4 linked regions of the Drosophila melanogaster genome follow. The protein of the gene in region 2 purifies or fractionates together with the protein of the main gene of each other region. This does not show direct contact. Each region holds a gene or a part of one and is shown on either strand. Other genes may lie near its edges. The genes, in order: Dis3, Spt6, Mtr3 and Ski6.

Region 1 (6,321 bases), on a different chromosome or scaffold from region 2:
TTAATCGCTGCTTTTAATTAGGCTATCAAACTAAATTACAAACCTTCCACTCCATACCACCTTACACACACCAGGCACATTGAATTTTAAATTTTCCAAATGTCGCGGTCACTCAACTGATTTCTATATACCCAACCTGGCACCCATGTACTGCACATATGCGTCGGGTGTGCGGCTCACCCAGACGCCGAGCATAATCCACACGTGATTGGCGATGGATATTGGACCTAAAAGCCTCCTTGTTGAATAAGCTAATCGAATTCATTAATATTTAGTGCCGACAGTTTGGGCGCACAACTAAACACTAATTAATCACTTCAAAGTCGCATCGAAAGTTCATTATTTTAATTGGCGAGCAGTGGTTTAAAACACAATATTTATCACCTTGAACTCTTGTGCATAAATTATCTATCTATCTACATCGCACTGCAAGAATCCAAGAATATTGTAAAAAGTTGGACTCCACTTAGATAGTTTTTGGAAAATTCGAAAATCTATAGAATTCATTTAGATCACAACGAAAGTTGGCATATTAGTTTTCCAAGCACTTTATTTGATGTTCTAAAAGTTGTTTATTTTAACTGATGTTTTCAATATGCGTATTAAAATATGTGTACCGATATAAATATATGTTCCGCAAAAATCACGCGATTACTCATTGATTAAATTTTTTAGCCTTTTCATATGAATTTCGAAACCTTTTTCGACTTACTGCCTTCGTAGTTCACTGCACTAGGACCGGGTTCCATTGTAACTTTGTATAACTTCCGTTCTTGTATATATTCAAGTCAAGTTAATGTATATATGTATTTATTATATATATTCTTTTTGAATTTTTTGGATCAAACGAGCTCAGCACAACCGTCGCACTGTAGTCGAAACTTTGCAATGGGTCTGGAGAATGTAGAACGCAAGTTGGAAACCAAAACCTTAAACAAAACACCCGATCAAAGGTATGCTTTCGAAACTCTCCGAGATCGGCAGAGCCGGAACGGTGGAAAAGGTTTACGAAACGGAGCGGAATTTAAAAACCTTACATTTTATTTATACGAAATGATTGTAGTTACACATCTTCAGCGTAGTCTAGTTCCACATAAGCAAAGATCCAAAGAATTACTTCTTTTTCTTATCCTTCTTTGTCTTTTTCGATGGAGGTGCCGCAGAAACCGCTTGGCTATCAGTTCCTTCGGTGGTCGTTTCCACGCTGAAGCCCTTGATGTACGGCTTGACCAGCCGGAAGATCAGCTTCTCGTGCTGCACATTGCTGGAATCCAGGCTAAGACGAACCGTGACTGGATCAAAGGAGTGGAACACCACGTCACCGCAACGCTGTGTATGATCCTCTTCGTTGAAGGTGAAGACAATCTCGCTCTTGACGCGCTCCACACCGTCCTTGCCATCCTTGTCCGACTTTAGATACAAAGTGCCTTCCAGGCCATACTTGGGGATTAGCACTTGCAGAGCATTCTTGCGCACAAATAGCACATATCTAGGGATGGGTAATAATTGAAAAGAATGTTGCCCACTAGTGGTTTCTTCGACTCACCCTTCCTCATCCTCCTCCTTGCCGCGGAAAAAGAGATGCGTGTTGAGGGCCACTGATGCGCGACCAGCGTACTGAGCCATTTTGTGGCGGTAGTTAAGATTATGACACAGCTCCTCATTTGACTTTCGGTCCAATAGCTGGGCATAGGTGCTATCCGCGCCGATTGAGGCGGCCAGCAGGCGATGTACCATAATGTCGGAGTAACGACGAATGGGCGACGTAAAGTGCGTGTAGATGGGAGCAGCCAGACCGTAGTGGAAGAACTCCTCCTTCTGCAGACTGCCGCTGATGAAGTACACTGCCTGCATCATACAGCGTGTGGTGAGGATGCGGATCATTGTGTTAAAGTACGGATTATCCGCCTTGACACACTTGTCCAGTGAATGCGACAGCTCCAGTCCCGAATTGATGTCCACCTGGAAGCCCTGGTAGCGCGCAGACTTTACCAGCGGATCGAAATTGGTAGGCGGTGGCCGAGGATGGCGACGCAGAACAGCGCACTCGGAGAACTCCGTTGCGATATGCTCGGCCACCGTGATGTTGGCCAGCAACATGAACTCCTCCACCATGGAATTCGTCTCGCGCATCTGCTTCACCTCCACCTCGAGTGGTTCGTGTGTCTCGCTGTCCACCTGGAAGCGGATCTCCGGGGAGGCAAGGACAAGGGCTCTGTAAATTATGGATGCCTTAGTTCACTTGATTACGAGGTGTTAATATAATCTTACCCATTATCCATTCGTCGCTTTTTCAGTATTTTGGCCAACCGATTAAGATTTCTCAGGGACTTGGCTATTTCATTCTGTTGCGTGGCATCGTCGATGATATTCTGCGCTTCCTCGTAGGTCATGGCACGCTTCGATTTGATGACGCTCTTGTGGAAGCGTTTGCTTAACACATTTGCTTCATTGTCCACTTCCCACACGCAGGAGAAGGCGAATCGCTCAACACCGCCAACCAATGAGCAGAGATTTGAGCTGAGTAACTCGGGTACCATGTCGATTCGTTTGCCCACCAAGTACACGGTGGTTCCCCTGGCCGCTGCCTCCATGTCCAGTGCGTTTCCTGGACGAATAAAGTGACTTACGTCGGCTATGTGAACGCCCACTTCCAGATTGCCGTTCGGTAGTTCCTTGCAGTGCAAAGCATCATCGATATCCGTGCAGCCCGGGGGATCCACAGAGCAAATGTACAGATCCCTCAGATCCACACGCTTGGAATAGTCCTCGTCAGTAATTGTCCAGGGCATTTTCGGCAAGAAGCTAAGCACTTCGTCCGAGAACTTGCAGTGCGGGACGTCGTGCTCCAGCAGGATAACCTCGTTCTCGGTGGCCATGTCTCCGAGCGGTCCCAGGGAGCGCACAAAATGTCCATGTGGGTAGCGCGAGTTGCGCGGCCATGTGTCAATCGTTACGATGATGCGCTGGTTCTGCAGCATTGCTGCCTGTCGCGTTTCGATACGGATGCGCGGAATCTTACGGTCGGCGGGCACAAAGATGTGCCGATTTGTATCCTCTATTAAGCTAGGCTGCAGGATGCCGCAATACTGTCGCCATTTCCGTCGCACAATACCGACAATTCGCCCTGTGGGCGTGCGCTCTGCGGATAAGGCAGCGGCACGCACCTGATTCAACATCTCATTTTCATCCTTGGCCCTTTCCTCGCTGGGCACTTCATCGGCATAGACATTCTTCTCCTCCAGTACAATTTCACTGGGTGCTGACCACTCCGCCTCGGGCAAAAGCTCCACGGCCACCAGGTCGCCATCCACGGCCCGATTAAGAGACTCGCGTCCTTGGATAAGGATCTATTAAACAGAAATCGTATTGTGAAGCGTATGCCAGGGAAGATATTTAGCGTTTTAACTTACCCCCTTTTCGAATTTCTCTACATTGACGGTGCCCTCCAAGTAGTTTTCCCTGGATGCCTGAAAAGTGCCCTGTAGTAGCTTATTTTGGCGCAGTCCTTCCAGCAGCTCCTTCATGCTGAGATGCGGCGGGTACTGGGGCAGACCATTCTTCTCGCTGTCGAATGTTTTGTGCGACAGCTTATCCATCAGAAGTGGAAAATCCTCGAGAGATTTCACGTACTCCGCTGCTGTGGTCACCAGAATACCTTCTGCTTCGGCCTTAGCACGATTGGCAGCATCATCTGTGAGCAGAACAACTCGCGTAGCAGCTTTGCCACTGCGCTCGAACTCTTTAGAGGATTGCGAGGCCTGCAGGTGATCATCGTACCACTTGGTGGCCAGACGAATGGCCCGATCATTGCGATCATTGGCGGTCTCATCTGGTTCGCGATCAGCATAGGTTTCCCTAGAAGAAGCACTATATTATAAAGGTTTCCCAAGAAAATCCATTAACCCACTTGTGGTGCTCGTTGACGAACACATAGAAGTTCCTGGTGCGGTCGTGGACGATCTCATTGAATCGCTTGTAAATGGCGGAGCTCCTGTGCTTCACCTCGTTGAGCACGGTGGTCAGAACGACTACGTTGCGCAAAACATCCTCCTCCAGCACGTCGATCTGGTCCAGAACCACATTTGTGTCCAAAACGAGATAGTGCGGGAATTTGAAGAGGGTGCTCTTATTCGCGTGCTGCGAGGTGAGCTGGTATACCTCGTTTTGGAAACACTCCCGGCACAGCTCGGAGCCGCAGCCGATGTCGTCGCGCAGATAGTGCTCCCGTACAATCTTCAGAATGTTGCCGCGCTTGGTTTTACGCGTAAATTCGCGTAAAGTTTGCATTTTGTTGAACCGCGTTCGAATTGTTACACCTTCACATGTGTGCCGGAATAGGGAGGCCCGTGCATGATTCGACTGCGGTATTATCTGCCTAAGGCCTGTTCACACTGCAGCCGCAATGGTCACAGTGGTTTGAGTCTACGGACTGCCCCGTATCTTAAGGTATAATTTAGTACCATTTATTGAACTGATTTTCTATATCGGCGCTTAGCACGTGTAGAACGCACGTTGCTCAAATTTTGTTATTTAAAACGCTAAATTACACAGCTCCCGGATGGTGCCGAACGAGAAAAGCTTTCCCCGAGGCGGGACAATCCACAGCGAAGTCAAAACCGACGACGTGAGCCTGAATATCGTGAGTTTAGCCAGCGAAATATCCGAGATCTTTGTACATACTTTTCTGTCCCACAGGTTTTCGGTGCCTCGCAGAAGAAGGTGAAGAAGGCGCCGAAAGTAAAAGAGAACCTTCTGAGCTACGAAACCGAGGAACAAAATGGCCAACTGGAGGCCTTCTCCGCGGAAACGCTCAATATGGACACGCTGCAGGAGGACATGCTGGTCATGGGAGTGGTCAAGGAGTTGACAGCCACCGCACTGCAGATCGCTTTGCCCGGTCGGATGTTCGCCCGCACCTTGGTGGCGGATATATCCGACGCCTACACCCGTGTGGCCAAGGCGGCCATGTCCGGAGACACCAGCGAGTACCACGACCTTACCGAGCTCTTCCAGTTGGGCCGCATCGTCTACGGCAAGGCCATCAAAACAGAAAAGCTGGACACCGGTCGGGTTAGCCTGCTCCTTTCCCTCAAGCCGGCCGATGTGCACGGTAATCTGCATCACAAGAGCATTAAGAAGGGTTTCATCTTCTCTGGCGCCGTGGCGGAGGCTCTGGAGCACGGCTATGTCATCGAGTCGGGAGTACAAGGACTTCAGGCATTCGTGCCATGCGAGAAGCCAGCTCAGAAGCTACACGTGGGGCAGTTGGCTTTCCTAAAAGTCAAAACCGTTCATCACGACACCCACCAGAGCACCTGCACCTGTGTCCAGGTGGAGCAGGACCAGCTGCGCATCAAGAGTCAAAACGAGACGAATCTCGACTACATTCTGCCAGGCAGCATTGTAAAGTTTAAGGTGGCCAAGCATCTGAAGGATGGCCTCAAAGGCAGCATCATGAATGAATCCTTTAGTGCCTACGTCAACGAACATCATCTAGCTAACGCTTTGGATACTTTGGATGCCTACGAGCTGAATGAGGATTACAATGCCAGGGTACTCTACGTGATGCCCCTAACCAAACTAGTGTACTTAACTCTTAATCTGGATATCAAAACTGGAGCTGCAGTAGCAAAAGATCAGGATGAGGAAGAGCAGGAGGTAGAGCCCATAAAGGTGGGTTCCGTGGTGGAAAAAGCCAAGGTTCTGCGCTTGGGCAGCGGTGGCGTGGTACTGCTTCTTAATAAGAAACTAAAGGGCATTATCTCATACGGTTCAATCAGAGGCAATTTCAAGGGAAATTATGACAAGGACGAAGTATTGTCCAAATACGGAAGAAAAACGAAGCATAAGGTTCGCATCCTAGGATACGATGTCATCGAATCCTTGTACTACTGCTCCGATGATCCCAACGTGGTCAACGAAAAGCTGTTCTGCCTGGAGGATATTAATGCCGGCGATCTGGTCACAGCGAAAATATTCAAGAAGGATGACAAGATCAAGGGCTGGTCGGTGAGGATCGGCAAGGTCAACGGAATACTGGAACAGTTCTATCTGGCACCCAATGTCCGCTACGATGTGGGTCAGTCGTTGAAGTGCCGCGTCCTAGAAGTTAATGCCGAGCGAAAAATCTGCTACGTGAGCAATCGTGCCGAGTATTTGGGCAAGGGAATTAAAATTCTGACTGATTATGCGTCCGCTCACGTTGGAAACGTCTATATGGGCACAGTAGTCCGATGTGAGGACACTTACGTCCTAGTGAAGTTCGGCAACGGCATCAAAGGAGTTTTGCACAGGCAGAATCTAAAGGAAAATAGCTCA
Region 2 (7,861 bases):
GTCTGTCCACTGGGCGTGTATGGCGTATTGATGGCGCCAAACGACGGCGTCGATGAGCTGCCATAGTGGGAGGAAGATACTCCAGCCCCTGGAGCAGAACTGCCCGACGTGCCGTAGCCAGTGATGGATTGCGTAATGGAGTAGGCGCTGGAACCGCCACCGCCGACGGCACTGCTGATGCCACTGCGCGGCGTTCCACCAGTCACGCTGCCAGTGACGCTGTAGGGCGCCTGGGGGCCCAAGGAGGTCTGGGATGACGACGAGATCGTCGGCGGCGGACGCATCAAGTGCAGTGGCGTTAAGTTGGACGCCGAGGCGCTGGCCGGCGTGGCCGTTGGATCCAGCCAGTGTTCCTTAAACCAACGCAGCAGACTGTTAACCGTATCGAAAATCTGGCCACGGAAACGATAGCCCTCCGGCATGACCGTCACATACTCGTGACGCACCTTCGTCTTGGGCAGATAGGACAGCAGGAACTTGCCCGGCATGGCGCGTGAGGCCGTAAAAAAGTAGTGTATCTTCTTCGGATCATTTGCCTTCTCCTCGCGCAGCAACTTTTCCATGACATCCCGTTCATTTTCATCGCCGGTCACCATGTTTGGCTTGTAGTACTTGTACTGTATCAGTTCGCGGGCAGCCAAGGCCATCGGCATGATGTGGCGGGCGATGATCTCGTCCAGATCCTCGAACTCCTCGGTGCCGATCCACAGACTTCTGCCCAGGCTGAAATCGTTCTCTTTACCCTCCTCGCGCACATCGATGTGCTGGAAGATGTCGTCGGCCACCTTCCAGGTGGCTGTCAGATGGTCCTTGGACTTGCTGCTCGGACGCAGGGCCACCTCGCCCTGATCGGCCTCCGCTAGCATGGCCACCACCTCCGCGTACGACTTGTTGAAGAAGCTGGGATGGGCGATTACGCGACGCGCGTAAATTTTGCGCTTCAGAGCCCTGGCCTTGGCATCGCTCACTTTCCGATTGTCCTGCTCCTCAGTCACATAATCATAGTAGTTGTCGCGACGCGGCCGCCACTCATTGTTCACATCCTTAAGATCAGCGGTCCTCGAAGAGCATTCGACTGAGAACCGGTCAATGTCTATCTTAATGATGCGAACATGAATCATCTGTGAGACGCGCACACGTTCTTCGGGATTGCGAACCTGTCTATCGGACAAGTTCTTGATGTGTATAAAGCCAGGCAGGCCGTTCTCCAGACGCACACGCACACCAGATGGCTGGCCAGGGCACGCGTTCGCGTCAAAGTGATTCCACACCTCGGACAGCTCTGGGAAGTCGTCCTTGTGGCAGAAGGGGCACTGCCAGCTTTCGTTGGAATCTAGACGCACCGGATTTGCGCTGTCTAGCTGATCGCCCTGCGGCCGACGGTAGGTGAAACCGGTGACCATGGCCGTGACGCACTTGCCCACATAAAACGAGTCGGGCGTCTCCTTGGTCAGCATATCGAAGAGCTCCTCCGCACTGGGCTTTGTGTACGGAGTGCGGTAGTCCTTGTACAGGCAGCTCAACTCGTTCCTTATGTCGTACAAGGTTATGCTCTTGCTGCCGAATCCCTGGCGCTCCAGTTCCACAGCGAATGCGTCCAGATCGAGATCCTTAAGGCGCTCTGGCGACTCGAGAATTTCCTCAAGGGCACCGGCCGGATTGGTCTCCTCGTCGTCGTACTCCATGGCATCGATGGCCATCTTTCTGGCCCACTCGTACGTTTCTGGATGCACACGCGACCCGTCCAGCACCTCGACATACGCCTCTGTGCTGTCGCCCAGCGATGAGGTATCGATCTTAATGAAACCGCTGCAGTTGATAAAGACCCTGGGCCCCAGATGACACACGGTGACCAGCTGGGTGCGGTTCTCCAACCGCTGGTTGCTCTGCTTAAGAAGTTTAAGTAAAGCCTGACCCTTGCGCGGACCCAAGCCACAGATGTACTGCAGCAGGTTGATGGTCCGTGAGTTCTGCACCATCAGGTTAATGTCCAGACCCACCTCGCTCGTTCGATTGATAAACTGCAGGCTGAGCTGCTCCAGCAGCTGTTCGCGCGGCACACGCTCCTGTAGCGGATGGTAGCGCAGGCAGAGAATCTCGTCGTCCGCATCACACAGCTGTGAGTATTCCACTAGCGGATCCTGCATCTTGCGGGCCAGCGAAGCAGCCTGCTTCAGCAGAGGAGGATACTCCTTAAAGTCAGACTCGCCCTTCTTCGAGTTGGCATAGATCTTGGCCAGCTCGTTGTCGATTATCTCCACCTCGATGGGCGGAAATTGTTCGGAGGTCTCGAGTTCATGCAGAATCTCCTTAATGTCTGCCTGGATGTTCTGGGCATCGCGCGATTCCGCTCCGATGACAACAATGTGTGGCTTCTTCATTTTGATAAAGTCACTCAGCTTTCGAAGGTCGGCCAACTTCTGGGCCTTCTCCTCAAGGTTGTAAGAATTCTTGCGCTTCAGAATGTTCGGCAGTCGCAGGTAGTCGGAGATGTCGCCCTCCACGGTAGTCACCGCACAGAAAGCGGCCACTGAGTGATCGGGATCGTAGGCCAGACCCAGCACCCGTATGCCCCTCAGCGTGCTCCACTCCTCGTAGCCAAAGTCGGGGGGCAGTTGCGGTTTATAGGGTGCCACCTTTAGCCACTTATACAGCTTACCCGTGCAGGAACGCAGCACAAATTGCTGAGCCTCCTCGTGCAGAGTTGAGCGCAGCTCCTTGATCAGATCCGGAATGACCCACTTCTGCAGCGCCAGCTGTACGCATTCCGCCCGCAGCTTATTCCACTCCTGCACGTGCTTGGCAAACTGATCCAGCTGGTACAGGGCCTTGGACTCTTCCACATAGTCACCGGGTGTTCCGTTGGCACACGCATTGCCCTCGAACTCCTCGAGGAACGTTATCTCCAGCAGCTTCTCCTCCTCGGCCATCATTAGCTTTATGAATTGATCGCCAAATAGATCGCTTACCGGCTTCTTGGCCACGTACTTCATCGAATACACCGGCGAATTCTCATCGATCAGCACCATGCCATTCTTGGTGGGCCGTATGTTAATCCTAGCTCTGTCGAAATACACCTCACGCATGGTCTTGCGCAGCAGAGGCTCTTGTGCCAGCTGTCGGGCCACAACGTATTTTGCGGCATGGATAACCTCATCCGTGGTCATGAAGCGCGGCGACAAATATTGCTTGGCCAGCTCTGTGGGACCGATGCTTTCCTGGGTGATCTCATTGCGCTGGTAATTGTCGCGCAGATTTTCGGCATACTGCTCCGGCGTGAGACCAAAGTGTTTGGCAAAGCCGCAGATGCCCGCCTTGCGGAATACCGCATAGGGACTGCTGTTGGACGCCTGCTTTAGTTGGTAATCGATCAGCTCGGGATCGTCATCGTCTTCCGGCTCTGGTACAACTATCGCCTCGGCCGCATCATCACCGTTCTCAGCGGCGGCTGCCTGGCGACGCGCCTTGGCCTCGCGACGCTCCTGTATAGCTTTTCGTCGCTGCTCCGCCTGCATGCGGGGCAGCTCATGCGAATAGTTCAGCAGAAAGTACATGTGCACGTCCTTTAGCTCCTCCATCGACTGTACGTCGGCGAGGCGCTCGAAATCGCTGTCCAGGATGAGGCGAACATCATCCGGTACGGGTTGATCTGTGTCGGCGCATAGCGTGTCCAGCTGGAACTGACGCATCTTTTCGAAAAGCACCTTTAGCTTGCGCTTTCGCTCGTTTAGCTGACACCAGATCCCATCGTAGTAGTAAACCTTCCAGAGATCGTCGATATTAAGCTCTGGCTTCACATACTCCTTGCGATAGAAGGCTATAAAGGGCACCTCCAACTGCTGGTTGCGTATAAATTCTAGCGTCTGCTTAATCTTGTTAACGGTTGTCGGTGGTTTGCGCATTTTCTCGCGGCTCTCCGGCTTTTCCTGTTCCGAAACAGTGTGCTTGCAGAAGGCATATTTGTAGATCCATTCAGCCTCGAGGTCCAGCTCGTCTGATCCCTCGGGCACCGGGGTTACGGGCACCTCTCGCAGCTGCATTCTTTCTGGGATGTCTGTCTTGCGAATCTCGTTGTCCATATCGGTGAAATGACCACGCTTGAGCTCGCTGGGCTCGTATATGTCGAAGATTGTCTTCTTGACCACCTTCTTTTTGAGCGCTTTCTTCTTCTTGACGCGCGTATCATCGCCGACGCCCAGATCCTCATCGTACTCATCTCCTTCCGAGTCATCTTCGTAGTCGTCTTCCTCGTACTTTGAGAAGTCGTCATAGTCGAAGTCTACGCCAAAGATGTCCTGACCCTCTTGAAGTGATCTGTGGTTGGATTATATTAATCGTATCTATTGATATCTAAACTTTATTATAGTTTGTATACTTACGCGTCTGTAAAGATGGGGCGCCGTTTCTTCTTCTTCTCGGCTATGGGACGCCCATTATCGTCCACAATGAAGTCATCTGCGTCCGACTCCGTATCCACGTCGTCGTAGTCGTCCGCCTCCCTGTGACTGCGCTCGCTGCGATGACCAATGCTCTGTAGGATCAGGGGCAATCAGTTGGACACTGTGCATTAATTGGTGGTCAGGGATTACTAGTGGCATACCTCATCGTTCTCGTCGAACAACTGCTCGGCAATCTGCTCACGCACCAGACCCTCGTCCACGTGCTGCTCCTCGCCATCGCTTTCGTTGTCGTGGATGCGACGCAGACGCTTGAACCGCTTCTACAAGGGAAAACATAATTTCAAACAATATATTTGAGGAGATAGAAGCCCCAATCCCTCAGCTATGTTATTCTTTGTTAGTTAAGCTTCGAAATTGGAGCCACAATTGGAGTTTAAAAAGTACATAGTTCTTCCCTGAAGGGAACACCTACCCGTCTCTCGACTTTGACGCCCAGATTCTCCTCGATAAGATCGTAGTCGTCGTCCTCCAGTCGATCGTCCAGATCGTCGTCCTCGTGCTTTTTGCGCTTCTTGCCGCTGCCGACGCCATCGGAATCGTAACCACTGCCATCGTCCTCCTCGATGGGATTGTCGTCGATCAGATCTTTGAGCTCTTCGCGCAGCCGTTCCTCGTCGTCTACGGAATAGGGCAATAAGAATATCGGTTTACCTTTTACCTTCATTGTAGCCGCAGATATACATATGCAACTGAAAACTGTTTTTAAAGCTTAAATTTAAGTAATTCACCCGGTTTTGAGAAAGACCTACATTTGATAAATTACCTAGATTTCGATATAGATAAGCCCTAACCATTGATTATTCCAGCTCCATCTATTGAACTAATTCTCCCTCCCTGCTTTGATTTGCAATTTCTTGGAATACGCCGCGTTCTTCCAATTCGCCGCACTTGTTTTATTTACTGGAACGAGCGCAGCTGTTTGTTGTTGTTGCTGCTGCTATTGCTACTGCTGATGCTGATATTTGATGGCCACGGTAGCACGGTAAAAACACAAGACCTAACCTCAAAGTTGTAAACAAAAGAAGTTGCAAGCGTGTGGCATTGGCCAGTTATAGGTGCCTTTATCCCGGATATGGACTGTTCCGATCGATGGATGGTGAGAGGGGTGAAAAACCCGCCAGAGATCGCCACATACGTATGTATGTATGTATGTATTTGTACGCGCCTTCAGCGGCTCCAGTGGAAAAACTCACCTTCTTCTTCTTCGCTACTATCGGAGACGGCCGCCTTCAGTTTCTTGAGTCTCTTGCGCTCGTTGACGTCCAATTCTTCCTCCTCCTGCGGGAAAAACGAAGAAAAGCCATTTGGTTAATTCAATATATATGTAGGCACATATGTATGTACACACACGCAAGGCGCAACGCACACCGCACACATAACGACGCACGAACGGTACGCGCTTCTAGAAATAGTGTTTTTGGGGTTCCGCAGACACCTACCTCCGATTCCTCGGCCTCGGAGTCCAGAAATTCGGCCATAATATAATGGAATAAAGCTTAACTTAATAATAAAGTGCGTATTAATGCAGAGAAACGAAGAGTTTGTGAGCGTTTCTTCCTCTTCTCTTCTTCTTTATTTCTCATCGCATTGCACAAAAGTTGGTATTAAAATACTAGCTAAATACTAAATACCACGAACAGTTTTCTACTGTTTACAGTACAGTTTGCTGTTAGCTTACAGCAGTGTTCTCGCTGCCAGCCCTGGTTTGCATTGCAGAACTACAGTGGATCCTTCCTATAACCTATGGTTAGTTATCCGTTTTCATGTGCTGACAACAATTGGACAAGAATTTTGCACACATACTTGTATTGATAAGCGGGAAAATTCCCCTATATGGGAACACACATATGCCCTTTGGTCTCAACGATGAAGTTTGCTAATTTCCATTATAGTCCATGGCATACTTCCTTTACATAGTTGACTTTTATGAGTTCTTACCGAAAAACCAACACTAATTGTAGCGCATAATAATTTCTCTCAAAAACTAGTGGTAAACGTAATGAACAATAATAATAATAAGCAATAAACAAAATTCGCAAACTTGTGAATTAAAAGTTCTTTAAAATTATTAGTGCATTTGGTATTTTGTGTAGCTTCTAAAGCCTTATTTTTGCTGGCTTTCCTTGTCTTCCCGTACACGGGCACACTTGTCGCGCTGCAGTTACATTTACTGCTCCGCCGTCTCTGGGCACACTGTATTGTTGTTGCTCGACGAGGAAATACTATTAGTATTTTTTTTCGTTCATCCTGAAAGTTTAAGTGGACGAAACGAGCGGCGGCCGACTCGACACCGAGCCGAAATTCAGAAAGTCTATTGCTTTGGTCGAGAACAGATTGTCAGGGAACTTCACTTCATTTACGCTCCCAAACAAACGGCAAAGGTAGCATTTCCAAAAACGAATTAAATCGAAATCCAAATAGAAATAGAAGTAGAATTAGAAAAGCCATAAGCGCAAGTTAACGAGACAAGACAACAACAATTCGATTCGGCGGTTTTTGTTTTTTTGCCAGTGTGTGTTTGTGCTACGCTGTGAGTGTGCATTAGTGTCCGGTGCTCCTGTTGTTGTTCTTGTTGCTGTTGTTGTCGCTTATTGTTGTTCTTGCTGTTATTGTTGCTGTTGTTCGCAAGGCACAATAACACAGGCTCATACAATTGCGAATATTTAGAAAAAGCAAAGCATATACATATGTGACAACAAACGCCAAGGAAAAACTGGAAAGCTAAGCAAAGGAAAACCAAGAAAAAGAAAACAAACAATTGAGAAATTAAGAAGCGGCAACTGAAGCAGCAACATGGACATATTGAATGAGTTCAGCAATGTATTCTGGAGTACGCACATTTGGCTGCCGCCGAACACAACCTGGGCGGACATTGCGCCCGGCTCGCGTCCAGATGTGGTGCACGCCAACTACAAGGACCTCATATGGCCCATTCCATTCGCCGCTGTTGTCATGCTGGTCCGCTACACGCTGGAGCGGTAAGTTTTCCACGTCCATTTTCCCCCCTCCGCACTCTTCCCAACCAACTGACTGACTCCCTTTCCATTCTCGCCATTCCCGGCAACATGATTCCATTCCGCCTCTTTCTCTAACCCCATTCATACGGCTTTCCCTCGCTCTCTCCCGCTCTTTCTCGCTCTCCTTACCATTGAGTAAGCCCACCGCCCCACGTTTGTTGCACCATGTACAGTAAACTTTATTCATAATTCCTTCTTTTCTCCATTTCATTTCATTTTTTTTTTATCGACAAACATAACCTCACGTGGAAACGCCCAACATTCTGCAAGCGTCCGTGTAAATATATATATATATGTGTGTGTGTGTGAAACAGCGCTTGTTTGCTTGTGTGCGGTTTGTGCGGCATACACGCGTTTTTTGTTGCTGCAACTCGAAGTTTTCCC
Region 3 (3,639 bases), on a different chromosome or scaffold from region 2:
AGCTGCGGTGTACATGTCAGCGTCTATCGCATACGAGATCTGCAGGACAACCAGAGCAAGAAATTCAAGGTGGAGACCAATGCCAAGCAGCTGCAGATGACCGGCAGCGTGGTGTTGTTCCGGGATTGCTGTGTGGTTGTCGTGGAGGGTGGGCCCAAGCAGCAGAAAAAGTATCGCAGGCTCATGCTAACGCGCATTAAGTGGGAGGAGGACAACGCCAAGGGCAATGACGGCCAGGACGTGCCGAACTCATGCGTACTCGTCTGGGAGGGGACTAGTCAGCGACGGCACTTTGGCGAGATCAAGTTTAAGATCTTTCCAATGGAAAAAATGGCCCGTGAGTTTTTTCAGAAGCACCAGGTCGAACACTACTGGGATCTGGCCTACTCCGGAGCCGTGCTTGAGGCCTCCACGGATCAGCAGTAGATAAAAGGCATTTTAAGAATTGCTAGATACACTACAGTTCTACAAATTCACTTTCGGAAAGATACAAGTCTGAATTAAAGTTTTGAAGCGCGCTACGCATTTGATGTTATTATTTTCGAAGCTATTCGGAACTTTGGAAGTGCAAAAATAACGAATAAAAGTTTTATCTGGACTCTAAATATTTGTAGTAATCATTTTTTAAGTGGTGGTTGTTGTTCAAATAGATCTGGGATTTATATTAGTATGATTTATTCTCAACCAACTACTGCCTCTTTACATAGGGATCCTCCCGGATGTTCGATTGTATAAACTCCTCTGGTCCTTGCTTCTTTAGCTTCTCGATTATTTCCTCCAAACGCTGATCTTCTAGAGCGGTCTCGGCTTTCTCGCGTAGATCTAGTTCGTGCTGCTCCTTCACCCGCTTCGTGAGCACGCCTTTGACTAGTTCTCTCAGGGACTTGTTAATGGCCAGGGTGTAATCCAGCAGCTTTACATAGGTGGCTGGACTGAGATATCCGCACTGCTGGCACTGGGCGATCTGTTCAAAGGTATCCATGCTGGCGGTAATGATCAGGCCGTGCTCCTGGGCGGATGATGGGCTGGTTGTGCTATCGGTGCTGCTGTTGCGATGCTTCCAGAGCAGCTCCTCAACCTTGGCACTGGGATTCAGGAAGACGTGATCCCGATAGATACAAGCTGTGGAGGCCGTAATTAAGTCGTAAGTGGAAATGCCGCACTCCACCAAAGCGACTCCGCAGCAATTGATGGCAGTGCTGAGCAGGCAGCCGTCATCGTCGAGAATAAGCACCCGTATGTCCAGCTGAAAGTTAAGGAACTCCGTGCGGCACACCACCGGCTCCATGGCCTTGGTCAGCATGCTGCTCAGGTGGCGTTCCCGTTCCGGCACCGAATCTAGATCCCCTGTGCTGAAGGCCGCAAAATTCACATAGCAATTCAGAACACCCATGTTCATTCTGCGTGCGCTGGCGCGGATTAGCTCCTTTGGCGGGGCCACAATGGCCAGAACCTTGGTGTTACCATACTCCATGTAGGCGGAACCTCTCACTGTGGTCAACACACCGGCGCGGATGACTGTAAGTCACAAGAGGTATGAGAAATTGAAATACAAATAAGGATGTGCACTTCTAACAGGTGTTTCTGGGTGCCAGTTGTGTTGGCTCCCTCGACGGTTTGTCTAGACTCTCAAAGAAATCCTCGCTTTCCTGCGGAGTTGTGTACGGCTCTTCCTCAATGGAGGCTCCATCGAGTAGGGTGTTCTTCGTCTGGTTCACCGCTAGCATATTTATATTATATCTTTTGATTGAATATAAAAATAAACAAACTGAGTTCACATGTGGTCTAAAGACTTTTAAGTTTTCGATTAAAATACAAATCTGGTATTTTTGTATATTTCGATATTTTATACCGATTCTGTATCGTTTCGTGGGTTATCGTATTTGAATGAAAACCTTCAAAGAACCTTAATAATAAGAACCTAAAATAAGTCTTCTTATTAGTGCTAATTGTGCTAATTATTTATAAAGTCTAAATAATGTTTTGATTCCTTCTGATAATTGATAACTTAGTAGTATTTTCTTTGTTACTAAGAGAAAAAAGAGCTTAAATATAATCGCAGAAAAATCGATTGCCGAAGTGTAAAACAACGCTTAAGATAACGCTAATCCACTCGGTACAGACTGAAGAGATTTCTGGGAATATGGCCGACAAGAAGCACTGCCATGGATGGCCTTGCATCAGGCCTGGAATAGTGTGTCGCGGAATAGAATACTGATGGTAGGATATATGCCCGCGTTATAGATTTTACTTTTGAATTTCAGTGAAGAGTTGCGAGGCTAGCTTTAGTATTATCTTAAAAGAAAATTCAAGACAAGTAAAAGCCATGCGGAATAGCCATTATTTCGGAGTTACCCATTCATAGTTTGAAACCCATATCTCTAATATTATATACACCTGACGACTGATTCCTTTTTTTGCAGGACCAAAAGTTCTGCCATTGCTGCTGATATGAAAGTCAAGAGAGAAAAAAATTAGAACCACAATACCTCGGATCAAGAGGATTTCTCAAATTCACAGCTTTTGGGGTCCGATGACGGAGACAGTTTTGTAGGAGATGCCGAGAATTCATCTAATGAATCAGTGTCAGTGAAATAATGTTTTTCCTAAACTCACGAAGATATTACGCAGGATGAATGTTGGAACTAGAGAGATCCATTAACATCCTAACCAACCATCAACCAATTTCTGAAGAAATCAGATTAGATCAGTTAATTTCAAGAGACCCATTTTTGCATATTGGGACTCGCTACTTCACCAAATACTTCCGCAGCAAAAGCAGACAAGAGTTTTTTGGCCAGAAAATAACGCATTGTGTCATAAGTAGCCCAACATGTTTGAAAATATAAACGATCTCCGTTGATATCAAGGAATTACAGCTAATACAACTGCAAAGGCCGGAAGTTAAATGGATATTTAAAATATCTGCATATCACAACATTTTTAAATATATACACATACACAAATATAGTTAGCTTTTTCTTTCACTTTCTAAACCTTTCAATTTTGATTGGCAAGGCCCCTAAAAATCGATAAGGTGAAAGTCACTGCCATCACTATTTGAACGTTACCAGCTCGTGGTAACGGTAGCTGATTATTCTGGTATTTTAAACAGATTAGCGCGGCATAGCCTGGCGTTCGCCGCGCGGTCACACTGCAAAAAGCGCTGTGTAATTCTGCTGTTTCAACAACGAAAAAGAAGGAACAAAGCCGCATAAACCGCATTACAATCGAAGAAAACGTAGTGCCAATTAAATCCCTTAAGTCCGACAAGCTAGGAAAGAAATCATGACGGGCGAGACCAAGCTGGAGAAGAAGCCGCTGAAGCCGGCGGCATCCGAAGGCGATGCCAAGGATCCGAAGGCCAAGAAGGATGAAAAGAAGGACGGCAAGGACAAGGAGCAGCAGCCGGAGCTCTCCGACGAGGACCAGCAGCTGCAGGAGGAGCTGGAGCTGCTGGTGCAGCACTTGCAGGAGCCGGATGCCAAGCTCTACCAGCCGACGCTGGAGAGTATGGCCAAATTGATCAGAGCCTCCACGACGTCGATGACCTCGGTGCCCAAGCCTTTGAAGTTCATGCGCCCGCACTACGAAACCATGAAGACGGTGTACAAGCACATGCCCAATGAGCAGGCTCGC
Region 4 (3,166 bases), on a different chromosome or scaffold from region 2:
CCACGGGTCTGGCGGTGGAGGCGCAATCGGAACGCTCCCAGCTCAAAAACCGGGAGCTAGCGATGAAGCGTCTACGGTCGCGACTTGTGCAACAGCAGTTGGAGAGCGTTGAGGCTAGCAAAATGGCCACCAAGAAGGCGCAACAGGGTAGTCTCAATCGCAATGAGAAGATCCGTACCTACAATTTCGTCCAGGACCGCATAACGGATCATCGAATTCAAGGCGGTACGCTGCACAACCTCAATGGTTTCCTCAAGGGCGGCGACCAACTGAGTGGACTAATAGAGAAGTTGCAACTGGAACATCGAAGGGAACGACTAAAGGAGCTCTTGGATAGGTGGGAGCCACCAAAAGAAGCTATTGAGAAAAACTAGAGCTACTTTCGTTTGTTACTACATTTATACGCCTGTGTTTTAGAGGATAATTGTGCTTTTGCAACAGAAATTATATTAAAAGAGAGCAAGGGCAGCCATCTGAATACAATGTTAAAGACACTATTTAATTTGTAAATGTTGGTTCCTTTTTATTATAATTGTTGCCCTTCAATTGTAAAAAACGACAAGATTGGAATAGAAAAGATTACTTTATTTCAACCAACTTTCGCAAAGTCAGAGGCACTGCCCATGTGCAGAAGGTGCTCCTTGACTGCTGCCTCCAGAATGTCCCTTATTTCGCGGCAACCCGCCATAGCAGTCTCGATGACGGTTTCCAAGTGATCGATGTGGAACCGCTCACTCATCTCAAGAAAGGCGATTTTCTCGGCGGTAGGCAAGGCAGCCACGGTTAGTTTCGGTCCGCCGGATACCTCCTCGAACTGAGAGATGTCTGTGAGCGGGATGTTCGATTTGCTCAGTGAGGCGGTGCAGGCGACAATGAACTCATTGAGGCAGATTCCCGCATCAATTAGCGCCAGTGTGGCGGCATTAAGAGCCACCGCATAGTTGGCGCCGTCGTCTTGGAGCACCTCCACGTATATGTCTATCTGGGAGCGGGGATATAGTTCTGATTTAATGGCAGCACTTAGCGCCTGCTGCAGGTACAACTTGAACTCCAGAGATTTGCGATCGCCGCGCGGCCTATTTTTGCGCTCCGCCGTGGAGAAGGTTGCCTGACTGTACTGACAGTTGATGACGGACTCTGTCTGATTGCCCTTGGCCTGGTGGGGTCCATAGACGGCAGCCAGAACCTTGGTGTTTCCCTGCTCCATGTAGGCACTTCCATCGGGCTGCTCGAAGACTCCCAGTTTGCACTTGATGCGGCGCAATTCATGAGGACGTCGTCCGTCCAGACGGAGGCCCTGCTCACTGAGCAGATCGTATTTACCAGACATATTTTGAAACTTTAGAAATACAATTATTTTGATTTTAACTAAATATCACACGTGCGGCGGGATTTGTTTACAATTTTAACAACAGTGTGGAAGTACTAAAAATACCGACAGTCCATGAAAAAATCCTTTTTATACTAACTTCTTTTAATATGTACACCGTACGTATGTAAGAGTAAATAAATAATTAAGCATATATTGCCAAAGTGTACTACATTAAATCACGATATATAGAAATTTAATAAGGATTTTAATAAGATTCTTTAAATTTAAATTTGAACAGTGTTTGCTTTGATTACCCCTACTACAACATTTTGGAATTTAACAACACTAACACATGGTCTAATCGATATCCGATAACCGAATACCGATAATCGTTCAGGATTTGTGGTAACTCTAAAATATATAAATAGTTTCGAGTGCAAAAAACGGAATTTATGGGAATAAAATAAATAAATAGTAGCTGAATCGTGTAAGAATCTGTGCTTGCCAGCACCAGAAATACGCAAAATGTCCAAGTCAAGCGCAGGTGGGTTTATAACATCGTGAAAACGAAACAAACTGAACAGACGCTTCCGGGTGCGAAACAAAAATAAAGACCTAAAAAATATCACACACTTTAAAAATAATGAACTCACCACCGAAAATTACAGCACGCTGGGTAAAATTCTTCAATGCGGCCGGCATCCCATCTCCTGCGGCTGCCGGCTATGCCCACGTCTTCGTGGAGAACCGCATCCAGGACGACATGCTGTTGGATCTTAACAAGGAGTATCTCCGGGAAATGGGCATAACCTTGATGGGCGATATAATCGCCATCCTGCGGCACTCAAAGACCGTCTGCGAACAGAATGCCCGGGAACAGGTCCTCACAACGGAGGTGGTTCAATCAGTTGTCCGACCGGTATCGCCAAAACCCAAAGCGCCGGTTGCAACTCCAAAAGCAAAGGTTTATCCGCCTGCGAAACCTGCAAGACGGGTGCTTCCGGAGCACGAGGGCAAGTACAAGGTGACACTGCCCTCGGGAACCACCGAGCGCAGCAAACAGATCTTAGCCAAGCGGGAAAAATGTAAGATTACAGATTTCTAAAGAACAAGATCAAATTTTCAATATATCTTCTTTTAGTATACTCCGATCGTGTGAGCAGCTCCAAAAAGTCGGACATATTTACGCGCCTGCATGCCGAGGACGAGGCGCAGGAGGGCATTGTCTCCAGTTCGGGCGAGAGCAGCGTCCGCGTGCACGTTGCCGGCGCATCAAAAACAGCGGCCACCTCCAGCAATAATTCGGTCTTCGCTCGACTCGGTGGCAAGCAGGGCGCTCTTCCGGAGGAGTTCACTTCGACCAGGGAAATCAAATCGATCCTTAAAAACACACACCGTACAGTTGGTGGTGGAGGAGGAGGAGGAGGGGTCACCAAGAACTCGCCCATTGTGAAAGCGAAGAAGGTGGCCGCTGTAACGCAGCAAAAGGTCATGCTAGTTCACAAAGTGCCTCTTAAAAAAGGCGACGACGACGATGATAGCATGGACGATTTCGAAAGTGACGAAGAGGATTACATGTCCAGCGGAGAAGATTTTGATATGGGAGCCGGCGAAAAGATTGTTAAGTTCGCCTCGACAGCGGAGGTTCGGGAAATCGTTCCCGAATCGGCATACAAAAATAGGCAGGGCAAAAGTTTTGCGAATAATATTAAATCAAGGCTCGGAATGGGTATGTTTGCTTCAGAGCAGAAGTGGCACAGTCAATTAATTTATAACATTTTTTTTAGTATCCAAACTTCATGCCACGAAGAAGACATACAACCTAAAGGCATCGCCTGCAAGGAAACCACAGGC

Evidence for each region.
Region 1: the proteins of Spt6 (region 2) and Dis3 purify together in Drosophila melanogaster (co-purification; one study listed by BioGRID). This does not show direct contact.
Region 3: the proteins of Spt6 (region 2) and Mtr3 purify together in Drosophila melanogaster (affinity purification with western blotting; one study listed by BioGRID). This does not show direct contact.
Region 4: the proteins of Spt6 (region 2) and Ski6 purify together in Drosophila melanogaster (co-purification; one study listed by BioGRID). This does not show direct contact.

Annotation. Positions count from the first base shown.
Region 1 is NT_033777.3:24,331,462-24,337,782, reverse strand, and holds Dis3 (Dis3), read right to left. Parts: upstream 4,351-6,321; 5' UTR 4,291-4,350; coding exon 3,911-4,290; intron 3,859-3,910; coding exon 3,414-3,858; intron 3,351-3,413; coding exon 2,272-3,350; intron 2,216-2,271; coding exon 1,547-2,215; intron 1,490-1,546; coding exon 1,114-1,489; 3' UTR 750-1,113; coding exon of another isoform or gene 713-749; 3' UTR 535-712; downstream 1-534. Other genes in the region: CG6432 (uncharacterized protein), read right to left, coding at 713-749; Rrp5 (ribosomal RNA processing 5), read left to right, coding at 4,562-4,642, 4,699-6,321.
Region 2 is NC_004354.4:6,265,984-6,273,844, reverse strand, and holds the start of Spt6 (Spt6), read right to left. Parts: upstream 6,049-7,861; 5' UTR 5,939-6,048; coding exon 5,900-5,938; intron 5,739-5,899; coding exon 5,654-5,738; intron 5,079-5,653; coding exon 4,873-5,078; intron 4,721-4,872; coding exon 4,601-4,720; intron 4,532-4,600; coding exon 4,380-4,531; intron 4,315-4,379; coding exon 1-4,314. Other genes in the region: schlank, read left to right, coding at 7,254-7,438. UniProt on the Drosophila melanogaster protein: Histone H3-H4 chaperone that plays a role in maintenance of chromatin structure during RNA polymerase II transcription elongation.
Region 3 is NT_037436.4:19,911,903-19,915,541, forward strand, and holds Mtr3 (Mtr3), read right to left. Parts: upstream 1,814-3,639; 5' UTR 1,728-1,813; coding exon 1,577-1,727; intron 1,519-1,576; coding exon 689-1,518; 3' UTR 503-688; downstream 1-502. Other genes in the region: Prp3 (precursor RNA processing 3), read left to right, coding at 1-426; Rpn1 (regulatory particle non-ATPase 1), read left to right, coding at 3,289-3,639.
Region 4 is NT_033779.5:13,220,892-13,224,057, forward strand, and holds Ski6 (Ski6), read right to left. Parts: upstream 1,539-3,166; 5' UTR 1,470-1,538; intron 1,417-1,469; exon of another isoform or gene 1,340-1,416; 5' UTR 1,331-1,339; coding exon 590-1,330; 3' UTR 506-589; downstream 1-505. Other genes in the region: mRF1 (mitochondrial translation release factor 1), read left to right, coding at 1-374; CG16812 (uncharacterized protein), read left to right, coding at 1,838-1,856, 1,981-2,397, 2,454-3,041, 3,100-3,166.